Linked DNA regions of Lepisosteus oculatus. The protein of the gene in region 3 binds, or shares a complex with, the protein of the main gene of each other region. Links are inferred from orthologs where the notes say so. Each region holds a gene or a part of one and is shown on either strand. Other genes may lie near its edges.

The links.
Region 1: snrpf (region 3) and cript share a complex: the UniProt entries of both Homo sapiens proteins name them as parts of the minor spliceosome. The link is inferred for Lepisosteus oculatus from reciprocal best matches to the Homo sapiens genes SNRPF and CRIPT.
Region 2: snrpf (region 3) and prpf3 share a complex: the UniProt entries of both Homo sapiens proteins name them as parts of the U4/U6-U5 tri-snRNP complex. The link is inferred for Lepisosteus oculatus from reciprocal best matches to the Homo sapiens genes SNRPF and PRPF3.

The regions. Positions count from the first base shown.
Region 1 is NC_090712.1:13,353,708-13,361,162, reverse strand, and holds cript (cysteine-rich PDZ-binding protein), read left to right. Parts: upstream 1-4,359; 5' UTR 4,360-4,716; coding exon 4,717-4,732; intron 4,733-5,072; coding exon 5,073-5,138; intron 5,139-5,500; coding exon 5,501-5,555; intron 5,556-5,936; coding exon 5,937-6,040; intron 6,041-6,171; coding exon 6,172-6,236; 3' UTR 6,237-6,859; downstream 6,860-7,455. Other genes in the region: pigf (phosphatidylinositol-glycan biosynthesis class F protein), read right to left, coding at 1,888-2,004, 2,419-2,510, 2,882-3,109. UniProt on the Homo sapiens protein: As a component of the minor spliceosome, involved in the splicing of U12-type introns in pre-mRNAs. Involved in the cytoskeletal anchoring of DLG4 in excitatory synapses.
Region 2 is NC_090722.1:7,131,814-7,139,457, reverse strand, and holds the start of prpf3 (U4/U6 small nuclear ribonucleoprotein Prp3), read left to right. Parts: upstream 1-4,548; 5' UTR 4,549-4,749; intron 4,750-6,761; 5' UTR 6,762-6,768; coding exon 6,769-6,913; intron 6,914-7,003; coding exon 7,004-7,134; intron 7,135-7,644. UniProt on the Homo sapiens protein: Plays a role in pre-mRNA splicing as component of the U4/U6-U5 tri-snRNP complex that is involved in spliceosome assembly, and as component of the precatalytic spliceosome (spliceosome B complex).
Region 3 is NC_090702.1:41,356,405-41,364,289, reverse strand, and holds snrpf (small nuclear ribonucleoprotein F), read right to left. Parts: upstream 3,196-7,885; 5' UTR 3,089-3,195; coding exon 3,086-3,088; intron 1,609-3,085; coding exon 1,483-1,608; intron 1,103-1,482; coding exon 1,038-1,102; intron 560-1,037; coding exon 493-559; 3' UTR 228-492; downstream 1-227. UniProt on the Homo sapiens protein: Plays a role in pre-mRNA splicing as a core component of the spliceosomal U1, U2, U4 and U5 small nuclear ribonucleoproteins (snRNPs), the building blocks of the spliceosome.

The DNA of each region.
Region 1 (7,455 bases), on a different chromosome or scaffold from region 3:
ACAGCAGGCAACACACTGGGCCAGAGCTGCCCCAGCTTCCCCTCAACACGTTCTTAACTGTTCACACCACTTCAGCTGGAGTCATCCAACCCGCCCTTTACAGAAGCTCTCGGCGGGTGAGAGTAATTATTCACATACTTATGTAAAAGTGAAATTTTGGAGTAGTAAGAAAATTGTGCTTCAAAGCTGATCTGTGCTGAGAAAATAAATGTTAAATAGCATCAAAATATGTTTTGAGCAGAGTAGAAATGCGGTAAATCCAGGAAAGAGGAGTGAAGACGGACCTCTTCTCTACTGCCTGCTGCAGCTTTCCCTGAAACCTCACAACAAGGAGAAATTAAAGTCAAGCAGCGGTGCTTCACTTTGAAGTACTCAATCAGCCAATCAGTACATCTCTGCTTCTCTCCATTCTAGCTAAAGAATCAGTTTAAGTAGCTCTGACTGGCAGCTAGGCCTAACCGGACAAAAAATACCACACTGCCGTCAGCAGCTTGATAAGTAGCTCTATTGATTTTTAAACTTCAGCTTTTAAGATTTGGAGCACCTAAAGCCTAAGTTCAAATTAATACATTTTAATGATGTTTCCTTAGTCTTAAGCCCCTTTTGAAAAAATGCAGAAAAAATAAAAAGTTTTAAAAAAAGATAAGGATACAGAAAATTAAACAAAATCCTAAACTACAATATTGTGTATTGTGTATTGTGCCTTTCATCTCAAACCAACCTTACTGAACTATATGATATACCATCCTCTCAGAAAACCATTGCCTTAAATAATGCAGAACTATTCCTTAAAAAGCTCTTGTCTGAGTGGGGAAATGGTAGTCATGACATTTTGTATTCTCCTTCCCCAAAACCATTTTCCACAGAAACCACTGAAACAAATTTACAAGTGCCAGCGCTTCACTTGCAGTAAGATCCCAAACAGGTTCTTGATAACCATTTCCTCTTACTAGGACAAGTGGCATTTCAACACAACCCCACACTGCTTTCCAGTCTTGCCTGTTATGCAATCAATCTAGTTTTTCATTGTTCTCATTTACGCTAAGTCATCTAAGAAAATTCTGTGAAACTGTTATCTTCAGGTTTTAGAGGAAGAAAATAATCAAGTTAATGGACTTAGGGTAAAGAAACAATCGTGGCATTAGAATTCCCCCTAGTGGTAGATTTAAAAATGACACACAGCCACACTACTTTTTGCAAAATATTAATTTCTTATTTCACATTGATGAGATAAATGAAAAACACACTACAGTCTTATATTATAATACTAAAATGAGTATGTACTCATCACATATGTCAATCCAGGAACTAAGCTTATCTGCACACCACTTCACAGTAGGCCATGTTCTGTAAGTATTAATGTCAGCACTCCAGCAGTCCCATGCAGAGAGGCTATATGGACTCTTCCTGAATGATATATACCGTGCATACGTCATTCGTGTTACAAAGCCGTCAGTACTGAAGGTAAAAAGAAAACACGACGAGGATTCCTCCCTTCATTAGCTCCTGCACACCAACAAGAAACTGCCAGTGACATTACACTCAGAAAGAAATGGACTCTTCTCGCCCTGTGGATAGGTTTTGTTGTATTCTACAGAAGGTAGGACACTAAAGGTCCTACAGTTACAGTAAATTGTACTGTTTACTATATATAAGCCCAATGACTTATATAAAAACACTTAATATTATTCTGAAAAATACTTCATAGAAATTCTGACATGCTCATGCAAGTTCAGCCTATTTATGCACATAAGCTCCTCCACTTCTAAGCTCTCAAACTGATTTATCTGATTGTGAGTAACAAAAGGGACTGCTTTCTGCATACTCCGGAAAACGGTACTTCCCCTGCAGAAACAGGCGGTGCGAAAGTCAGAATAAGAGACGCACCCATCCCGACTGAAAACACGAATCCAGGCCTGGACGTTAGGCCCCAGGATGCAGAGACAGCGCAGGGTGGTGAATGTGGACAGCAGGACAGCAAAGGAAAAGGTTTCAAGCGCAGACCTGGAAAAGAGAACACATATCCTAGCAAGGCACACCCTGTCCTTGCAAGAAAATAGGTCTTTATTTCACTTATGCAAAGTGCTATGATTTGTGGGTAAAACACCCTGCTCTTGGTCCAGGAATGTGTGTCAATTCAGTCAGGAATATTACACCCGCTGCTCAGACAATATTTAAGACACTCTAAAAGGGTTTGGATTAGTTTCAAGCTGGGATCCGGTGGGGCACTTCAGACCTCAGCAATTACTTTTCCTAAACAAATCTCAGTCACACCAGCAGGATGCAATGAAACAAGAGAAAGACTTTCAAAAACATCACTGACTATTTGACTCATATGTCCTGATGTGAAACATGAACAGGCAGAGCATTTTAGTAACAGGACAAACTATTCCTAGTGACTTGTTGTTAAGTACTTACTCCAGCAAAGGTGCTCCATACAGGACAACAACTGTGTGGAACAGGAAGCAGGATAATATGAAATACAGGCAGGACCTGAAGGCTTTAGACACCTATGGATAAGACCAAACAGGTTTAATAATTACCCACTATATCTTTATAGTGTTTGCTGGCTCGGTTACCACAAAATGATATATGTGGAGACCAATGCAATTCAATGGACAAGCATACAGAAAACCACTCAAAGCTTCTAGTCCCTATATCAACTATAAGTGCAGAGTATTTTTATTCATATAGTTAATCTCTAGATTCATATATACCAGTTATTCTAGTGTTACTTCCATTTTAAAATTAAACTGCATTAACTGAATTAAAGGTACTTTAAAAAGATAACTGAAAACATTTAAAAGTTGTATTGGGTTGTGCAATACCTGTGAAAGCAGGCTGATTCTGCAAAGAGAAGAAAGTCTCCCTCAGACCTCACCTTGTAACTCAGAGTATTCTTCTTAGATGGTGGACTGATGCCCAGCAGCCAATAGACAGTGATGTTAACAGCAGCCACAGCTCCAGAGACAGAATACAGCCACACAAGGTGTGTGCCATAGACTGAAAACCCATCCACAAACAGAAGGGGCAGTACTGTGGCCATCAGGACAGAAGCTGCCATGATGGTATGGGCAGAAATCATTCCCTTGATCTCAATATCCTTCATGGTGATCCTAGGTGATTCCAGGCTGGAAAACAAGCACGCAATACTACCAACTTCAGGATACTTAAATCAGTTCAGGTCTGGGGAATATCAGGAGTTTAAGACTGCTTGCTAAGGTACAACACTCAATAGTAACATCCAAAAACAGCTGACAAAGGCCTCTGTATAGTGTTGGCTATCTGTACTCAAGAAGACACGTGGTCACCTGATTTCAGTTCCATCTGTGTTCTCAATTTTGTCAGAAATTATTATTTCCTTAAAACTCTAATACAGCTGCGTAAAGAAAACTTCCAGTGCAGAGGACACAAACTCAACTTGGGTTTTCGGAGCTGCGAATTCTTACTGTATACAAGCAATCACCAGGTTCTGTATATTAGCTAAGTGTTTGTACCTTAGTTTATCTAAATCTGCGTAGAAAAGGTAAAAATATTTAAATGTCGTTGGTACAAAAGATCGGACATTTTCAAAATCAATTTTAATGTAAAAAAGAATAAAACTGCTTTACACCACGTCTATATCCGTTGAGGGATTTGTGATCAGCCAAGAGTAGCTGAAGACGGGCGGCCAAGGCAAACCTGACTACAAGTTTCTGTCTCAAACCGTCACAGTGTTCAGAAACTTAACATACACGGGGAACCCTTTTGTAGAGGTCTGGCGTCTCCTACAGGAGCTGCAACTTTTCAAAAGTTATATTTCATCTTTAGCATTCTTCCAAGCCCCGGTAAATCATCAAGTATCAAATCTCTACCGTTCCAATTAAACTTAAAACTGCAAAAAACTATGCACTGCGTAAGAAACTGCAGACATTATGCCTATAAAACTGAATAATCAACAAGAGAAAATAGGATCGTAATTATATTTTAAGAAATGGCTTACCCTCTAGATGGACGGATTGTTGCTATATAATATCATTCAACGTTGGAAAAAAATAATAAACTACTATATACATCAAGCGAATGAAAAAAATCTGAATTATTCTCAAGAACACGTAGCCTCTAAAAGGTGTTTTTCCATTTTTTTAGTCGTGGTGCACAAATGCACGACAATAGCCCACAACAGTATCATTCATACCTGATTTCCGTATGAAATATATTCTGCGCAAGGTCAGTACAGCGTAAACAAGGACGTGGGGGGTGTCACGGCGTGTTTTGCTTGACGTACATTTTGCCCAATCAAACAGTTGCTTCATACCGATTCCCAATCGCCATCCGAGTGGGCGGGGATAAAGTCTAAGGTCACTACCCACAAACCCTGGGAAAATGCAAAATATTACGGCAGACTAGCCGGAAGGAGTAAATTCTTTTTGAGACGCATAAACACCCATATATTTTATGTGTTTACTATAATATGTAGAGTTCAGTAGTTTATTTCTGCCATGTCAGTGGACGTCGTAAAGCCGGTGGTACAGGAATGACGCAAAGAGGGGGTTAATTACAGTCGAGGTGCATTTATTTAGTTTGAAGTATACAGTACGCACTCTTTCTGAACGGAAGGACGAGACGGGAAGTTGTCACACGGCTCTGGCACCGGCAGAGCAGATAGTTTGTTTTCCTTTTCTCCGCTGTAGGTGGATTGATTTTCTTTTTTTCTCGTTTTAAGAGAGGAGAAAGATGGTTTGTGAGAAGTGTAAGTGGTTTCGTGACTTTGTTATAGTTGTCTCTGAATACAGGTCGCACTGATCATCTCTCCGTGATAATCGTAATAATCGCCAACACTGGGACGTTGCTTCGCTGTTTACAATTTGTGCCGCAGTGGAAATGCTAGAAAAAATAGTCACATAACCAGTATATCCATTCATTTTTAATGTGAGGCAATTGCGATTGTATACTATTTTCTTCATTTCTTTTAGTTTCCTTTGTACTAGGCGTTTGTAGGTATTACTGGCAGACGTCCTGTCGTGTGATCTTAAACGAAGAGACGGCGACTCCGCTGTTCATCTCTGGCTGAAACTCTTTGTAATTTGCAGGTGAAAAGAAACTCGGCCGTGTCATCACTCCGGATACATGGAAAGATGGAGCCAGAAACACAACAGGTACCCTAACTAATGCACTACGCTACACGTAAGCAAATAAGAAACGGAGATTTGAAGTGCAGCCTTTGAACTCAGATACGCAGTTAACAGAGATCCTTTTCCAACACTGATCAATTTCTGGATCTGGATGTGTCCGTTCCCCTTCTTGAACTCGGATACATTCTGAGTACTGCCAGATCTAGGTTTTCGGTCACTTTCTAAGGGTTTTCAAGACGTAGATCACTTTTGCAGTTGATAATGGAGTGTTCAGCATCTTCTGGAACAAGATGTGTGCTCCACGAATAATGGGGAGTAGCCTAAAACATCATTACATTAGAAAGGTTGGGCATTAATCAACCCACCTTTGTTTCTTACAATTGCAGAAAGTGGTGGCCGCAAGCTGAATGAAAACAAGGCGCTTACTTCTAAAAAAGGAAGGTAGGTGCATCTTTTCATTAAAAAAAATGGTTCACATTTGTATTTTCTATGGAAATGTACATAGTGCTTTTCATTCCAAAATTTGTCACATATAGAAGGTGACCCACTTGATTTACTGCTGAAGTGCAGCACCCCGGGTAAAATGCAGCTACCATTATGTGCGCCAATAATATCAATAGTCTTGCTGACACCAGTGGAGAAACCATCAAGATAGCTTGTCTCATAAAACTGTGTGCTCAGGATTCTTTGAGTCTTTAGCACAGAACTACTAAATCCAGACTTTCATTGTTGGCATATGTGCTGTTTATTTGTAGATTTACCTTAGTAGTATACAAGCTAACCTTATGTGTCTTTATCATGTTTTCCTATCTTTTGTTTTAGGTTTGACCCCTATGGAAAGTCCAGATTTGCGATCTGCAGGATTTGTAAAAGCTCAGTCCACCAGCCTGGTTCAAACTATTGTCAAGGGTGTGCCTACAAAAAAGGTAAGAATCCAGCTACTTATCTGGGCATTGTAGTAATTTAGGAATGAAGCAGGTATGCAAGTCATCCTAGTAAATGTTTGTTGTGGAAGTGTGAAAACCTGTGGATTCTAATAAGTCTCTTGTTTTCCTAGGCATCTGTGCAATGTGTGGCAAGAAGGTTTTGGAAACCAAAAACTACAAGCAGACCTCAGTGTAGTCAATCCATCAAATTGTTTATGAAAGGAGTTACGGGGACTGCACTGGTCCAGCACTGGTTATTCTAGAGACAGAGCTGCATTGAGCTGGTTCTTGCATGCTGGGCTTGCTCATGGAAAACAGACGCTCAAAGCCATGAAGAACCACTACAGACAAAGCTGTCTCCGCAGTGTATTTTTTAAAGCCTTGTTTCTATATTCAAAGGTAGTTCTCTTCTGCTCTTTGAATCCAAATGTTAAATTAGCTTTACTTTAGGCCATACTTAAATATATCCTGTAAAACAGCAATATACACAAGTTGATGACAGCGGCTCTCTAGTGGGTGGGATGGTATCCTTTCATATCTGTAATAGTGATCATGCTTTATTCATTACAAATTACATATTGACGTTTTTGTTTTATTACAGTTAAGTGTAATGGTTACAATTGCAATGTAACTGGGTTTCTATAAATATTTTTTGCTATCTGTAGTTCTGTAATTTTTTAGTGATTACTGACTTACAAGACTGTTAATGTATAAGGACTTATCAGTTTACGTTGTGCTACTAAGATAAAAACTCGTTTGTAATAAAAGCTTTTAAAGGGAAGATAGTTGATCTGGAAAATAAAATAATTTAACTTAAAAGTTGTATTTTTTCAAATTCTCAGGATTTGTTATTTGAATTTTCTTTCCTGCACGCAGACATGGGTTTCCATTCTAGCCTCTAGATGGTGCTATTTCCGTGCTGAAACTTTGGCATCTCCAGAGCTTTAACTTTTAGTTGGAAATATATAGTGACAAGGTCAGTGTACCTTGGTGAATCACGCTAAAGGTATACATGTTGACATTTAAATACTTTTTTTGCCCTTAAGGTACATTTTCCTACACAATATTTCCATGAATTGACTTCTTGCTCCTCATATTTTAGTCCTACGCAATAACTTAAGGGTGTGGAACAGAACATCATGTTGATTACAAACCCCTTTACCTCATATTAAGCTTCTTATACAGCTATGACTCCCTTCATGTTATGGAAATTAAAACTTTGCTATTTGTTGCAAACCCCGGTCCCTGCTTCAGGCGAGGGCAAGAGCTCCCACGTACTGTGATATGATGTGGCCCTTCCTGCTCTCTAGTCACTGGAAAGCCTAATGTAATGTGAAGTACAAGCCAATATGTACAGGTTGTGTAGCAGACATTTCATCGCAGAAATGTTCCAATGTGATGTGCATGCAGGGCAT
Region 2 (7,644 bases), on a different chromosome or scaffold from region 3:
GCACAAACTTGTGTGGACATGCACTGAACTCCCAGAATGCTCTAGGAAAGTCCCCCCCTGGGTCTGGCCTCTTGCCTCGTGGTTGACAGGACCTCCCCTCTGGAGAGGGAGGCCCCCCATGAACAAGGAGGGGTCGCTGTGTGACCCCGCGGTGCCCCAGGGGGCAGTGAGACGTGGGACAGAATGAGGCCTGTTGTACAGGTTGCATGTGTTTGTCTAAAAGTGTGTTGAAGGGTATTTTATACATAAACACACTACACACTGATGTATACACAATGACACACTGAAACACTACACAGCACTCTCTTCCTTTACAGCTCTGATGATGATGAAGGAGTGTTCATGTGAAGATACAGAGGAGCTGGACTGAGTGTCTGTACAGTGACTCTCCAGCTCTGATGATGATGAAAGAGTGTTCATGTGAAGATACAGAGGAGCTGGACTGAGTGTCTGTACAGTGACTCTCCAGCTCTGATGATGATGAAGGAGTGTTCATGTGAAGATACAGAGGAGCTGGACTGAGTGTCTGTACAGTGACTCTCCAGCTCTGATGATGATGAAGGAGTGTTCATGTGAAGATACAGAGGAGCTGGACTGAGTGTCTGTACAGTGACTCTCCAGCTCTGATGATGATGTGTTGTATGAGGAATCCTGAGCTCTGACCCAGGTGAGGGGTGACCCTCTGCTCTTCAATGAATTCTGCTGTCGCTGTCCCTGTGTTTTTATTCGAACAGCTGTGGGCGTTTCGCCCTGTTTTTGCTACAATGTTTTCACTTGTTAATTTTATATCAGACCAGTTTAAAAGCGTCTCTCCTGGTGGGGTGCTGTACAGGTCACCCCATCTTACTTTGCTCCCCTCCCCGAGGAACTGCCGTCCCAGAATCCGAATAAACTGCCAGTGTTTGGAAAGGAACTGCAGGTGTCCGTGTTTTGTCTGCTTTGCTGCTCGAAGCTGGTGCTCGTGATCCATACGAGATTTTAACTCCTGTGCATCTACCGCCCAGCCAGTCTCTGGTTGGTGAAAAGCCCAGGTGCCCGATCACAGATCCCTGTGGTGATCTATCTGGTCGCTGAAGAGCCCAGGACCCCTGATCACAGATCCCCAGATCCCTGTGATGATTTTTCATCCCTGTATTTCCAGGGAAAAGCCGGGCTGTGCACTGGGATGTGGGAGGGTTTCGACCTGAGGGACGGGGGGGGCGGTGGGGTTTGGGGAAAATGTGCTGCGAGATCCCCCCCAGCTGGGCCTCAGAGGGAAGGGATTTATTTAGGGGTGTCAAGGGATGACTACAGTATCCTCACCCCCTGCGTGGACCCCCTCCTCTATCGCATGCAGAGCCGCTGGATTTGGGACACGGGGCGATGAGACGAGAGCTTACCCTCCCCTCCCCCAGCTTCCTGCTCCTGCAGGGGTGGGAGAGGACAGGGGAGCGGGCCTGGGCCAGGAAAGCACCAAGCGGCAGGAGCAGAGTGGACCGACGCCAGGCACGGCACAACACCGAGCACAAAGGCGAGCACGCACTAACACAGCCAGGGGGCGCTGGCCGAGGGGGGCCGGTCGCGGATCGCGGCTCCGCTGTCTCGCAGGCGGCCTCCGCTCTCCGGCTACGCAGAACAAAGACTCCGTCTGCGTCCTCGGCTCGGCCCGGCCCCCCCCTTCGCTCGGCGGGCGAGGTGGGATTCGGGACTCGGGACATGTCTGCTCCCCTCCCCCAGGCCCTGGGGACTGAGCGGGGAGGGAAGGGGGGTCCAGCGCGGACCAGGCTGCGTGATGCCAGCGATGGGCTGAGTGCAGTTTATTATTCGCGCTTTTATTATTTATACAACACAGATTGCAGCCACTTGAATTAACTCGCCAGATCCAGGCACGAGGCAAGTCTGCCTTTAGAGCAGCACAAATGTACAGTATTTACACACTGTTACAGTGTGTGTGTGTGTGTGTGTGTGTGTGTGTGTGTTCTCAGAGACAGAAGGAGAAGCCAGTCTGGGTGTCAGTGTGTGTGTGTGTGTTCTCAGAGACAGGAGGAGAAGCCAGTCTGGGTGTCAGTGTGTGTGTGTTCTCAGAGACAGGAGGACAAGCCAGTCTGGGTGTCAGTGTGTGTGTGTGTGTGTGTGTGTGCGTGCGTGCGTGTGTACCAGCCCAGCTCTGTGCTCCTTGCGTGAGCTCTAATGCACCACAGTGGATGAGCCCAGCAGGGAGCCGGAGTGCAGGAGTTAGAGAACGAGTGAGTAAGCACAGAGCCCCTCCCCCACTCTCTGTCTCACACAGCTCAGATCCCCTCTCCCCCTGCCGCAGGCGCCCCTCGCTCTGAAAGACTGGGATCCCTCCCCAGCTCGGTCTGGAGCTGCTCCACGCTCCACAGACAGAGCCACCCCAGGCCATTCAAGTCCTTGACCCACTTTAACAAGGAGAGCAGCACTTCAGCAAGCACACTGCAACCTTCCTATTGAGTAACAGGCATCCTATAGAGACACTAACACTGTACACGAGTCCTACAGAGACACTGACACTGCACACCAGCCCTACAGAGACACTGACACTGTACACCAGCCCTATAGAGACACTGACACTGTACACCAGCCCTACAGAGACACTGACACTGTACTCCAGCCCTACAGAGACACTGACACTGTACACCAGCCCTATAGAGACACTGACACTGCACACCAGCCCTACAGAGACACTGACACTGTACACCAGCCCTATAGAGACACTGACACTGTACACCAGTCCTACAGAGACACTGACACTGTACACCAGCCCTATAGAGACACTGACACTGTACACGAGTCCTACAGAGACACTGACACTGTACACCAGCCCTACAGAGACACTGACACTGTACACCAGCCCTACAGAGACACTGACACTGTACTCCAGTCCTATAGAGACACTGACACTGTAGACCAGCCCTACAGAGACACTGACACTGTACACCAGCCCTACAGAGACACTGACACTGTACACCAGCCCTACAGAGACACTGACACTGTACACCAGTCCTACAGAGACACTGACACTGTACACCAGCCCTACAGAGACACTGACACTGTACACCAGCCCTACAGAGACACTGACACTGACACTGTACACGAGTCCTATAGAGACACTGACACTGCACACGAGTCACGAGTACGACATACAGTCGTGGCCAAAGATATTGGCAATCTTGCACTTTTTACAAAGGTGCCGATATTTGTTTTTCAAAAACTAAGTTGAAATTGACCAAAGTATTTAGTCTCCACAATTCTTTCTTTCACTGTTAAGATTACCGAACCTTTATTTTGGAGCCAGAACTTCCAAGCGCTTCCTGTGCCCCTCGATGAGCTCCGGGGCAGTTTGGCCCCCTCTCCGCAGGCCAGCTGCTCCAGCTCTCCCAGCTCTGAAGGGCTGGAGGGGCTGCAGGCGAGACAGCGATGCCACTGATGTGTTCTCATCAGACGAACGGAGGGGACCGCGGTCAGTTTAATTATCCGTGTGGCCTGGGCTCCCACTCTCAGTAACGAGACAGGGTTCTCCCACAGATCATGCTTATCTCACACGGCAGCCGGTGCCCAGACAAGACATACTGCAGATGTAACACTAATACAATGAATTAGTCAAATCAAAACCAGTTTTACCATTAAAAATAACAAACGAGTCTACACAGAACAATCACTTCATTAGCCTTCAGAAAGCAGAACTGGGTCAGAAAAGCGATAGACAATGCAGATTCAATATTTTCTAAATCTTTCTGATGGCAAATTGAGAAGGTTATTTTAGCCCTACTATCACTCTCGTTCACCGTGTCCTTGCCTGTAGAGATGGAATGTGGGGACTGCCGTTTTCTGTCGGCCATTTCACTTGATTGATTCATGTTTCAGGTTGTGCAGGAGTGAGGACTTCCTTTGTATGAGCCAGCTCAGGAGTGAAGGAGAAGCAGATCAAGTCAAGCTCAACTCCATATCGAGACAGGGTGGCTCCAGGGTCAACATTGCTACCTCACAGCGCACGTTTGTACGTGTGGAGTGCAGTGCAGTGTCGGTCATCCATCTGTACTTTTCATTTTTTTCTGCTCGCTTTTCACACAGTCACACCGCCCTCTTGTGGCGCATGCACGAACTGCGCCTCGAACTACCAGAGAAGAAAATTTTCCGTCTTTCTATTGTTGCAACCTTCGTTTAATTATGGGTTTTAAAAACTTTAAGCCGCGTTGTAATTGCTACTACCATGCGAGGCATCTGTTTCACAAAAAATATTTCCAGTAACCACGCCCGACTGTATGGGTTGACTGGGATGTGAAAAGCTGACCCTGCCAATGAAGGATCCCCCGCTAGCGGGCCGGAGTGTTACTTGCAGGGTGTGAATGGTCGTTGAAATCGAAAAATTCGCAAAAGCTAAGTAAAACAACAGACTGCACTAAAATGCCACTGCCCAGCTGCTTTAACTGCAGATAACGTGGAAACGTCACTGAGAAGCAGTCGCTTAAAAAGAATGCTCTCCCCCGTCATGTGACAAGGACTACGGCTTCGTTTACATCCTTTGGGACGATGGGCTTCGTGACGCCATTTCCGCTTCCGGCCGGACGTTCCCTGTACGTTGTTGGTGTCGCGCCGTGCGAGCCGAAGAGTTCACTCTTCTTCGGGAGCTGTTCGGGTTTATTTTACTGTTGAGTTTTTTTTTTCGATTATAGTAATATTTTTTAAAACGAAACTGCTGATATTTTACTTAAAAAGTCAACGTTTACCCATTTCAAGTGAACCCGCGTGGTGAGTACCGATTGGAAGAGGAACGGACGGTGTTAACGCGCCACATTATCGTCGTACTTTTGTTTATCGGTGTAGTTACTGGGGAATATGGGTTTTAGGAAGTGTTTCAGAACTGTTGATGTTCATCAGCGAAACTTTTATATCCCGGATATAATTAGACATTGTAACCGCAGGACTTGAGACTCCTAGTGCACAGGGTCGTGTATGTACGAGGGCATGGATGTGTCACGTTGACAACTTTCTTGTATAATTAATTGAACAGATAGTATAATAATTGCAAAAATGCTTAGTATGTTTCCTGTAGCATCACAGTTAGCACCATAGCGCACTGCTGGGCGTAAGTCCTGGGGTGGATGGGGCAGCTGGGAGGCGGACTATCAACACTGTAAGATCTGGAGTGGATACACTGAGGGGCGCGCTGGGGCTCTCTGAGCTCATGCTGGCAGTGGAGCCTCTGGTGACCGTGTGAGAGAGCGCTGGACTGAGTGACCGTGTGAGAGAGAGCTGGACTGAGGGACCGTGTGAGAGAGCGCTGGACTGAGGGACCGTGTGAGAGAGCGCTGGACTGAGTGACCAGCTGAGAGAGCACTGGACTGAGTGACCGTGTGAGAGAGAGCTGGACTGAGTGACCGTGTGAGAGAGAGCTGGACTGAGTGACCGTGTGAGAGAGAGCTGGACTGAGTGACCGTGTGAGAGAGAGCTGGACTGAGTGACCGTGTGAGAGAGAGCTGGACTGAGTGACCGTGTGAGAGAGAGCTGGACTGAGTGACCGTGTGAGAGAGAGCTGGACTGAGTGACCAGCTGAGAGAGAACTGGACTGAGGGACCGACTGAGGGACCGACTGAGAGAGCGCTGGACTGAGGGACCGACTGAGAGAGCGCTGGACTGAGGGACCGTGTGAGAGAGCGCTGGACTGAGTGACCAGCTGAGAGAGCGCTGGACTGAGTGACCAGCTGAGAGAGCGCTGGACTGAGTGACCGTGTGAGAGAGAGCTGGACTGAGGGACCGTGTGAGAGAGCGCTGGACTGAGTGACCGTGTGAGAGAGAGCTGGACTGAGTGACCGTGTGAGAGAGAGCTGGACTGAGTGACCGTGTGAGAGAGAGCTGGACTGAGTGACCGTGTGAGAGAGAGCTGGACTGAGTGACCAGCTGAGAGAGAACTGGACTGAGTGACCGTGTGACAGAGAGCTGGACTGAGGGACCGTGTGAGAGAGAGCTGGACTGAGGGACCGTGTGAGAGAGAGCTGGACTGAGTGACCGTGTGAGAGAGAGCTGGACTGAGTGACCGTGTGAGAGAGAGCTGGACTGAGTGACCAGCTGAGAGAGAACTGGACTGAGTGACCGTGTGACAGAGCGCTGGACTGAGTGACCAGCTGAGAGAGAGCTGGACTGAGGGACCGACTGAGAGAGAGCTGGACTGAGGGACCGACTGAGAGAGAGCTGGACTGAGGGACCGACTGAGAGAGAGCTGGACTGAGGGACCGACTGAGGGAGAGCTGGACTGAGGGACTGACTGAGGGAGAGCTGGACAGGGACCGACTGAGGGAGAGCTGGACTGAGGGACCGACTGAGGGAGAGCTGGACTGAGGGACCAGCTGAGGGAGAGCTGGACTGAGGGACCGACTGAGGGAGAGCTGGACTGAGGGACTGACTGAGGGAGAGCTGGACAGGGACTGACTGAGGGAGAGCTGGACTGAGGGACCGACTGAGGGAGAGCTGGACTGAGGGACCGACTGAGGGAGAGCTGGACTGAGGGACCGACTGAGGGAGAGCTGGACTGAGGGACCAGCTGAGGGAGAGCTGGACTGAGGGACCAGCTGAGGGACCAACTGAGAGAGCGCTGGACTGAGGGACTGACTGAGGGACCAACTGAGAGAGCGCTGGACTGAGGGACCGTCTGAGAGAGCGCTGGACTGAGGGACCGTCTGAGGGAGCGCTGGACCGAGGGAGCGCTGGACCGAGGGACTGACTGATGTACACGAGCCGAGTGACCGGGTGCTCTGTGTCCGCAGGGCTGGGATGTCGCTGTCGAAGCGGGAGCTGGAGGAGCTCCGCCCCTGGGTGGAGCGGACGGTCAAGAAGGTGCTGGGCTTCTCCGAGCCCACCGTCGTCACGGCCGCGCTGCACTGCGTCGGCAAGGGGCTGGACAAGCGCAAGACCACAGGTCCGTGTGGCCGGCCGGCCGGCCGCTGCCCGTCGCCCTGAGGCCTGCGGCCGCCTTGCGCTGACCGCTTGCCCTGTGCTCCCCCCCCAGACCAGCTGAAGCCGTTCCTGGACGAGTCGACGGCGAAGTTCGTGGACCGGCTGTTCGAGGCGGTGGAGGAGGGGCGCAGCTCCCGGAACTCCCGCTCCGGGGGCGAGAAGAACCGCAAGCGGGACCTGAAGGTGAGGGGGGGGCTGGGCAGTTGGATGGGGTAGCTGGGCGAGGGGCAGGGGGGGTGGCGATGGGGTAGCTGGGGTGGGGGGGTAGCTGGGCAAGGGGCAGGGCAGTTGGATGGGGTAGCTGGGCGAGGGGCAGGGGGGCTGGGGGGGGTAGCTGGGTGAGGGGCTGGGGGGGTGGTGGTGTGGTAGCTGGGGTTGTGGGGGGGTAGCTGGGCGGGTGGCAGGGGGGCTGGGGGGGGTAGCTGGGCGAGGGGCTGGGGTTGTGGGGGGGTAGCTGGGCGAGGGGCAGGGGGGCTGGGGGGGGGTAGCTGGGTGAGGGGCTGGGGGGGTGGTGGTGTGGTAGCTGGGGTTGTGGGGGGGTAGCTGGGTGAGGGGCTGGGGGGGTGGTGGTGTGGTAGCTGGGGTTGTGGGGGGGTAGCTGGGCGGGTGGCAGGGGGGCTGGGGGGGGTAGCTGGGCGAGGGGCTGGGGTTGTGGGGGGGTAGCTGGGCGAGGGGCAGGGGGGCTGGGGGGGG
Region 3 (7,885 bases):
GACTAAAATACTTCTCCACATTGCTCAATCCAATTTTATCCTTTTTGGGACACCTACAAATTAACTCCATCAGTGATATACATGCCTTTGTAACAGGATTATTAATGTCGCAGATATCTTCACTTAGCAGGGCAAAAACTAATTTGCATAAATGATCCTCCTCAATTCCCATCCAGAAAACACTCTAACCATTCCTTGTGGTTCATTAAAAAATACTCAATCACAAATTCTAAGAAAGTGCAATATGCACAATTTTATTACATCAGTGCTGCTCCTGAAGCACAATGTTAGACAACCACGTTAAGTTTTCGATACATAAACAAAAACAGCTTTTTCTTCTTTGGTAGGAAATTACAGGCTCCATTTCAAGCTTCCTGCCTACCAAAGAATCTATCACAGATCACAGGCTTTTTATATGGCGTAAAAAAAGTGACATTTCTAATTACTATGTAAAAATCAGTGACCCAGAATCAAGAATTTCTTCACAATGTTTTATTCTCTCATTTCTCCATCTTCTTCTTCTTCCTCAACACCTCTGATGTATAGGACGTTATTGCACCTGTACAAGACAAGAACATTTCTGCTCATCAGGAAATCCACAAAGGTCACAAATTCCCCAACTACTCCAATACAAAATCGATGCATTGTAACGTATTCTGACATGCTTTAGCCGATTATAATACAGCAGACACAGAATTCACTGAAATCTTCCTTCCTTGAATCAAAACAAAGAAGAGTGGTACATGTTGTTAAATGGCATGACAACACATTTAGGATCAAACAATTAGTGTGATTCCATAGCCAATTCTTTAATTCTCAATTACAATTATTATGGAAGACTTACTATACACCATGAAATTCAAAAGACATGCATTATCAATTTCATTTGATTTCATCATCATCATGCTTCAATGATTTTAACAATATCCAGTCAAATAAAGCTTTATTTAACCACATACGTCAACTCAAAAAATTTTAAGTTAACTTTTTTTTTTAAGTTAAAAACTAGCACTCTTGTGCTCTGCTTAGTTGCCTACCTCACAAGCACTTCTCCTAAATGACCGGCCAGTGCTCCGTCAACATACTCTTCAGTGTTGGCAAGCTGTGAAAAGAAATAGGAGCACAAACATGACTTATCAATCTCTACAAATGCGTTTCCTACAAAGTTAAAATTTACAGGATAGACAAAAGTAATGTGTAAAACTCACTACACCCAGAACACATACTGTATAAAGGATCATTAAGGATCACATATAATCATTCAACATGGTCATTTGTTCCCCCCCAATCTAAATGAGAAAAGTAACCATAAGGACAAACTCAACCCTGTGCTTTCGATCATCAGTTTCATTGGCATGAATGTTTAAGAAACTCTTCAGTGCTGGTCTGCCAAAAATGTAGTCAAATGTAAAAAATGAAATCCTAATACCCATCATAGACATGTGAGCAGCCATGTTCCACCACGCATCCATGTTTACATACCTGCATATTCATGTACCCATCGACTGAGACCAAATATCCTTTGTACTCCATCCCCCACTTGAGCCTCACCATCACTGGTTTTCCTGTCAGGCCATTGAGGAAGGGCTTGGGGTTCAGAGGCAAACTCTACAAAGACAGCAAGCACCATTAACCCTTACCAAGTGAAGGGAGATAAAACAAATATACCCTTTTCTCACAGACAATTGGACAACATCTTGCCTATGTCTTAAAAAAATACAGCTACAAAAAAAAGTAAACGAAGTATCCAGTGAATGATAATGAAACTGTATGTACGCCCTCACAAAAGACAAATTAGCCTTTTCAGACATGTCGTTGTGGCCTGAATTTTCAGTGAACAAAAAACAATAAATGCAATATTTATATCTATTCAATATTCTGTTATTGTTAAATGACAAGTTGTGCGTGCACTGCAATATTAGGTATAGAAAAATCAGTTTAACATTTTTTCAAGGATAATGAGTAAGATACATTTCTAGAATTATTATTCCAATACAATGACTCAGGAGTTCAAAAATGATTTATGTGTGGTGAAACTGTGGTGAAACAGCATGAACTGAAAAAACTGAAGGTTTTTCATTCACACTGATTTTTCCCCCAATTTTTTAGTGGCACACAATTCACATCAGGTTCTGGGGGAGATGAATTCTGGTCAGTGTCCATCTCGATTCTGCAGTCTAATGTCTTTTGGCATTACTCTGCAGTCCAGCCTGACCAGAAATCCAGATTCAGAGATGTTTTGGCTAGTCAGACTATCAAATCCCAACAAGGTCATTAGAGAGCACAACCTGCTGTGAGTGAGGGACGAGGGATGGACAGTATTACATGCATTTCCTCTACATGATAGCCTGTTCTGGTCTACCTGGATGATGTTATAATAAGTCTTTAAGCACACAAGTCAATTGAGAATGAATCCTCCTGCGCACTGGCGACTCGAACCTAACCCATTTATAGGTTAGGTCCGCTTTTGGAATAATCTGAGTGAAATAACTTGCTTTAAAGTACAACAACAGCCACACTTAATAATTGAATCCCTGGACCTGGTCTGGAGTCAGAAGCCTAAACCATTACTACAACTCCACACATACATAACTATTTAATTGCACAAGAAAATAGACATTCTGATTAGATTAAAAGCATCCTTCAACCATCCTTAACAATATACTCTGGATTTGGGCGGTCGTACTTGTTTTAAAAAAGTTCCACGCTTCCTGAACTTTCTCCTATTAAGAATTGCACGAAGACTGTATTTTCACGTCTTGTCTTCTGCCCGGAATACTCGGAAGATCATCTATTCTGTTTCTCAATTTTGTTAAACTCGACATAGTGAATTCCAGTACCTTCACTGCCTAAACATATCGTACATCTTATGCAAAATCAATATCGAAAATGTAGAACTGTCGGAGAACTGATTTCTCAACGCATTTAAAAGTACTTTCTGATCCAGTACCGAGGCCTAGTAATTCATCAGAACAAATGAAAGGAAATATTTATGTAGCCAGCGCTAACATATCAGATTGAAACCATACATCAAGCGCAAACTCGCACATCACAATTAAAATCGAGATCTCTCAAACACACTCACCATTTTTATCGTTCAATAATAAAACCTTTGTCTTGTTAGTCTCATACAAAACACCGCACGCCGCACCGTCCAAAGTAGGAAGTACTTCCTTACCCCGACCTCTCACCTTTGAACCCGAGGGGGAAGTGTACTTTAATTGGATACATTCTAGACCTTTTAATTTGATTGGCTACGGGGTGTATTGCGCTTCTCAGTGCGGGAAAATAGCTGTGTGAAGAGGTTGATATATGAACAGTATTATGGTTGTCTCCAATAATGTTTTAGAAATGCACGATGGTATCCATGATCATTGTCTAACTTACATTAATGTTAATTAACATGCAAGCATTGTGGTCCTAGAAGGCCGCACGGTACAATTATTGAGGTTAAACAAGTGCGTAAACGAGGTATCATGCTTACATCAAATATGTAATATATTGTCTCATGCCCGAACGCTGACTGCATATGCTGCTTCCCATTATCAGGAGTAAAACGTCCGTCCCGAAATCTTAGAGCCGCATCCCCGCAATATACACCACGACTGTAATATTGTAGCAAGCGGGTTTGCTAGAGCAGCAACCATAGACGGTCACTACCGACAGAAACCTCGGCGAAACGGAAAAAAGACTGTACCGCCGGTCTAAATTGAGTGATATGACACGCATCATACAAATATGTGTTATATACGTATGACAGAAGAGAACAGATATTGTAGATATTGTAATTGACGATTGGGGTACTTCGTGGTTAAGCTCTGTGTCGTTGGTAACAATTGGCTGGCAGCAAATAAGGGAAGTTTCTGTGAGAACCCACTGAGCGTTTCGAAAAAAAGTTCGAAACATTAAGAATCAAATTGGAGTATATTTGTTATTTTATTGTAAAAATAAATTTCTGTAACTCTGATTCAACGGCTCATCCCAATGAGGGCACCTCCATAGCGCCCTCTATCCCCATAGAGTACTGAAGGGAATTGCTTTAGAAGTTTTGGTCGAAATAGAAGAGTTGCCGCGTAATGTATTAATCCGGGGTTCCCGTGGGTATGCGCCCTCGCCGCTGCCGCCTCAGGTCGGCCCCCCACCAGGAGGGTCCTGGCCTGGCCGGAGAGCCTGCCCCGATGGAGGTCCTTGGCCCACACGGAGAGGCTAGAGGAGGAGCCCACGGAGCAGCCTGGAGGGGCGGTTTGGAGTCGGCGGGACACTCGACTCTTCAGCTGGGGGCAATGTAGCGCCACGCAGGGCGCTTTAGCCATGTGCACGCAAGGTGGGTGTGTTAGTGAAGGTGCAGCGCTGTAACCCCTGTCCCTGTGTGTGTACCTTTCCCCGGTTTGAGTTAATAAATGTGTTGTTCAACCCCATTCCCCGAGTCCCATGCCTGCTCCATTCCTTGCCGAACCCGAATCCATTACAATATATGTTTCATTAGAATTATATTTGGTAATTATGGCCATGCACATGCTTTGCTTGAATATTGTGACCGGATATTTTATGTCGACCTTATGACTACAGCCTTCTTTCATTTTGTAATGTATATTCAGACTACGAGAGGGACAGTAAAAGATGCAGAAAGTTACAGAAACATAAAAGCTTTTACTAAAAAGTAAAACAACGCCAAACCAAAAGTCCCCAAAAAGCTTGTTGTCTAAAAAGTATAATATAAGTTGTATTAGAAATTTACTTTCGAAATTTAATTTTCTTTAGGAAATGTTTGTGCTCTAGAAAAAAAGTCTAAGGATTAATTAATACTATAAAATGTTTTTTTTTCAAGAATCTTCTATTTTATGTCATATTAAGACAAAATATTCTGTCTTTTTACAACAATTTGTATAAAATTAGACGTATTTGTTGCTTGGCTTTAAAAACACGTTTTTTAATGGGGGATTCGGGTTTAATTAGAACTGTCAAAATAATCCCAAACTTGCTGCTATCATAAATTACACAATGATCTCGTCCTCTCCCCAAAACATTCTTGTTCTTTCTTGCTTCTCTGTTTTTTTCTAATTTCTCGTTTAGCAACACAGTTAAATATAAATTTATTACCTATATTGGATGTTTTTAGAACACTTGCTTTAATTTCACAATGCTGTTTTGAAACCGTTTTCACTTTGACAATGTGGTGTAAATATTTTTAGAACATATCACAGAATGCCTTTATTCGAAAGATCAAATAAAGCGACTATTACATTTTTAGGTGTGAAATTTAAATATTCTCAATAATTAGTCATGACCACTTTAAGGTTATCCGTAAATGAGAAGTAGCCATAAAATATTATTCACTGGCTAACCCTCGGGGGTCGAGGATAATTGTCTTCAATGAACGATAAAGCCTTTGCTGGCCGGCCGAGCAGGATGTCTCGGGAGATAATCAGGGCACGTATCGCGCATAATCATGAGGATAGAAAACATCGTCTGTAATGAATAAAGTGTAGATGCTTTCAGTAAGTGACCAGATGGTGGCACTATCTACTAGCCTTCACACTTTGTAGCTCTGCTCATCCAAAGAGTTGAATTAACGACGTGTTCTTCTGGAGAACCTCCACGTTTCCACTGGTTTTACAGGAGCGTTTCAGTTACCAACTGATTAAAACCCTAAAAGCAGGCGATTCAACTTCTTATCCGAAGAATTATTTAGTTAAAATCCGTGATGGAATTAAAACCACAGGGCTCTATGTCCAAGGACTGAAGCTGTCAGTCTAGAAAGTCAAGAATAATATCGGCTGTATAACCCAAGAGCTCACCCAACTGTTTCTTGAAGAATCTCAAGGTACTGACTTCAAGAACATGAACTGCCAGCTTTGTGCAAGGAGTTGCCCCCAGTTCTCCGTGCTAAAACACACTTCTGCATAACTTTAAAATGTTCCTTAGGGTCAGAGTTGCGGTGCTGAGCATAAAGTAATTATATTAGGCTCACCCTGCCCATACCTTTGAAGATTTGTAATGGTGATGTGCAGTTCTCTAATCATTTCTGTTAATCACTGTTCAAGACTGAAGAGAAAAGTTACAGCTCAAAATAATTTTTCTGCTGTGGTAAGAAATGTTTCCCTTGTGATAGACTGGCATCCTGTCCAGGGTGTATCCCACCCAGACTGGCATCCTGTCCAGCTGTATCCCACCTTGCGCCTGTTGCTTGCCAGGATCAGCTCCGGCTCCCCCACAACCCTAAAATGGATACAGCTGTTCGAAAATGGATGGTGGATAAAAAAATATTTTTTTTTATCCATCCATTATTTATCCACACACCTGAAGAAGGCTCCATGGCTGAAACATTGTGTTTTCTTTCTTCTCTTTTCAGCATATAATAAACCTATTGCTTGTTCCTAAAAAAAAAATATTTTACTCCAGGTAGGTTAATTGAGTTCATGTGCACTATATAAAGCAGGAAATTCAAATGTAACACGAACCCCATCAGAGATGTATGTTTTTGGCCCCTACCCCCACAGTACAGCTCTGAAATTTGTCTGTAAAAATATTTATCAACCAACTGTACATCTGGAGATTTTCTTACAGACATTACTTTTCTTATTAGAGGAAATGGCACATGAGAACAGATGCTACAACTCAGCTAACTACCTCCTTGATAAGTAAGGAAAGCATCTATGTAAAAAATGCACTGTGACGAAAAAGAATGGTACCTCTCTGGCGTCCGTAGCAAAAAAAACAGCTTCGTTTGGCTGTAGTCTAAAGTTTATATAAATCTAACAGGGTATAAAAGGAGCACTCATTTTTTCTCAGATGATAAGTTTTACGCAGTCTTATAAGGAAGGATGAATAGGTTTAGTTAGACTATCATCATCAGTAAGATTTCCAGGCACATCTGGCAGAGCGAGAGGAACTGTAACTACTGTAGACACGGACCTGATTTTAGCCACCCAGTTTGGAACAGCCAATTCCATCTTTGCTCACACAGGCTCTTCCAGCCTGCCCACGCATTACACCATTCATCTTTGAGCACGCTGCAGTGAGGAGCAGGAGGCCCAGTGCTCATGGGAGGAATGGCTGGCCTTGATGATGTCAGAGAGCTGGCAGACCTCAGTGTCACGGGAGCCGGGCCAGACTCCCGTGAAATGCGTTGTTAAAGACCCTATGCGTGACGGAATACTCCGGAGTTCATTGATCCAAGGGTGTCACCCAGCTGTTTCTTGAAACAAGCCGGGGTTTCAGCTTTAACAGCATGACTGGTTAGCTTGTTCCAGTCTCCCACAGCTCTTTGGGTAAAGACGTGCCTCCTGTTCTACCTTTTAAGTGCACTTTTTCTTGTTTTCCATGTGTGCCCTCCACCTCGCATTTAATCGTTCATCGTTCGCTATGGCCGACAAGGAAGGGCAAAAGACAAAGCTGTCAAAGACAGAGGCACAGAGGAATCTGTGAGGAGACGCTGCGGCCTGCGTGAAAATGTATTCCTTCTGGAAAAAGAGGTCGGTGGAGCTGGTACCAGAGAGGTGTGGTAACAAGATTGTGGCGGAAGATTGTGTGAAATATTCTGTCTGGTCGGGTGCAGCCTCCTGTTCAGTTCCAATGAAGGGCATGATTCTGCTTGTGCGTGTCTGGCACTGGCAGACTGGCAGCTGGCAGACTGGCAGCTGGCATGCGAAGTAGCAGTTTCCTCATGTTCCAGTATAACGCACGGGCAGCCTCCCTACTATGGGAGCCAGTGAACCATAGTGAGGTGATCGTGGAGTAATAATTTAAGTGGGTGTGGAGAGTTCAGTGTCCTACATATCTCCCTGCTTAGCTCAGCAAAGAGTGGGATTGAACGGGAAATATTTGGTCAAATTATAGAAAAAATAATAATTAAACAGCCCACAAATATTGAATCAGCTGGTCT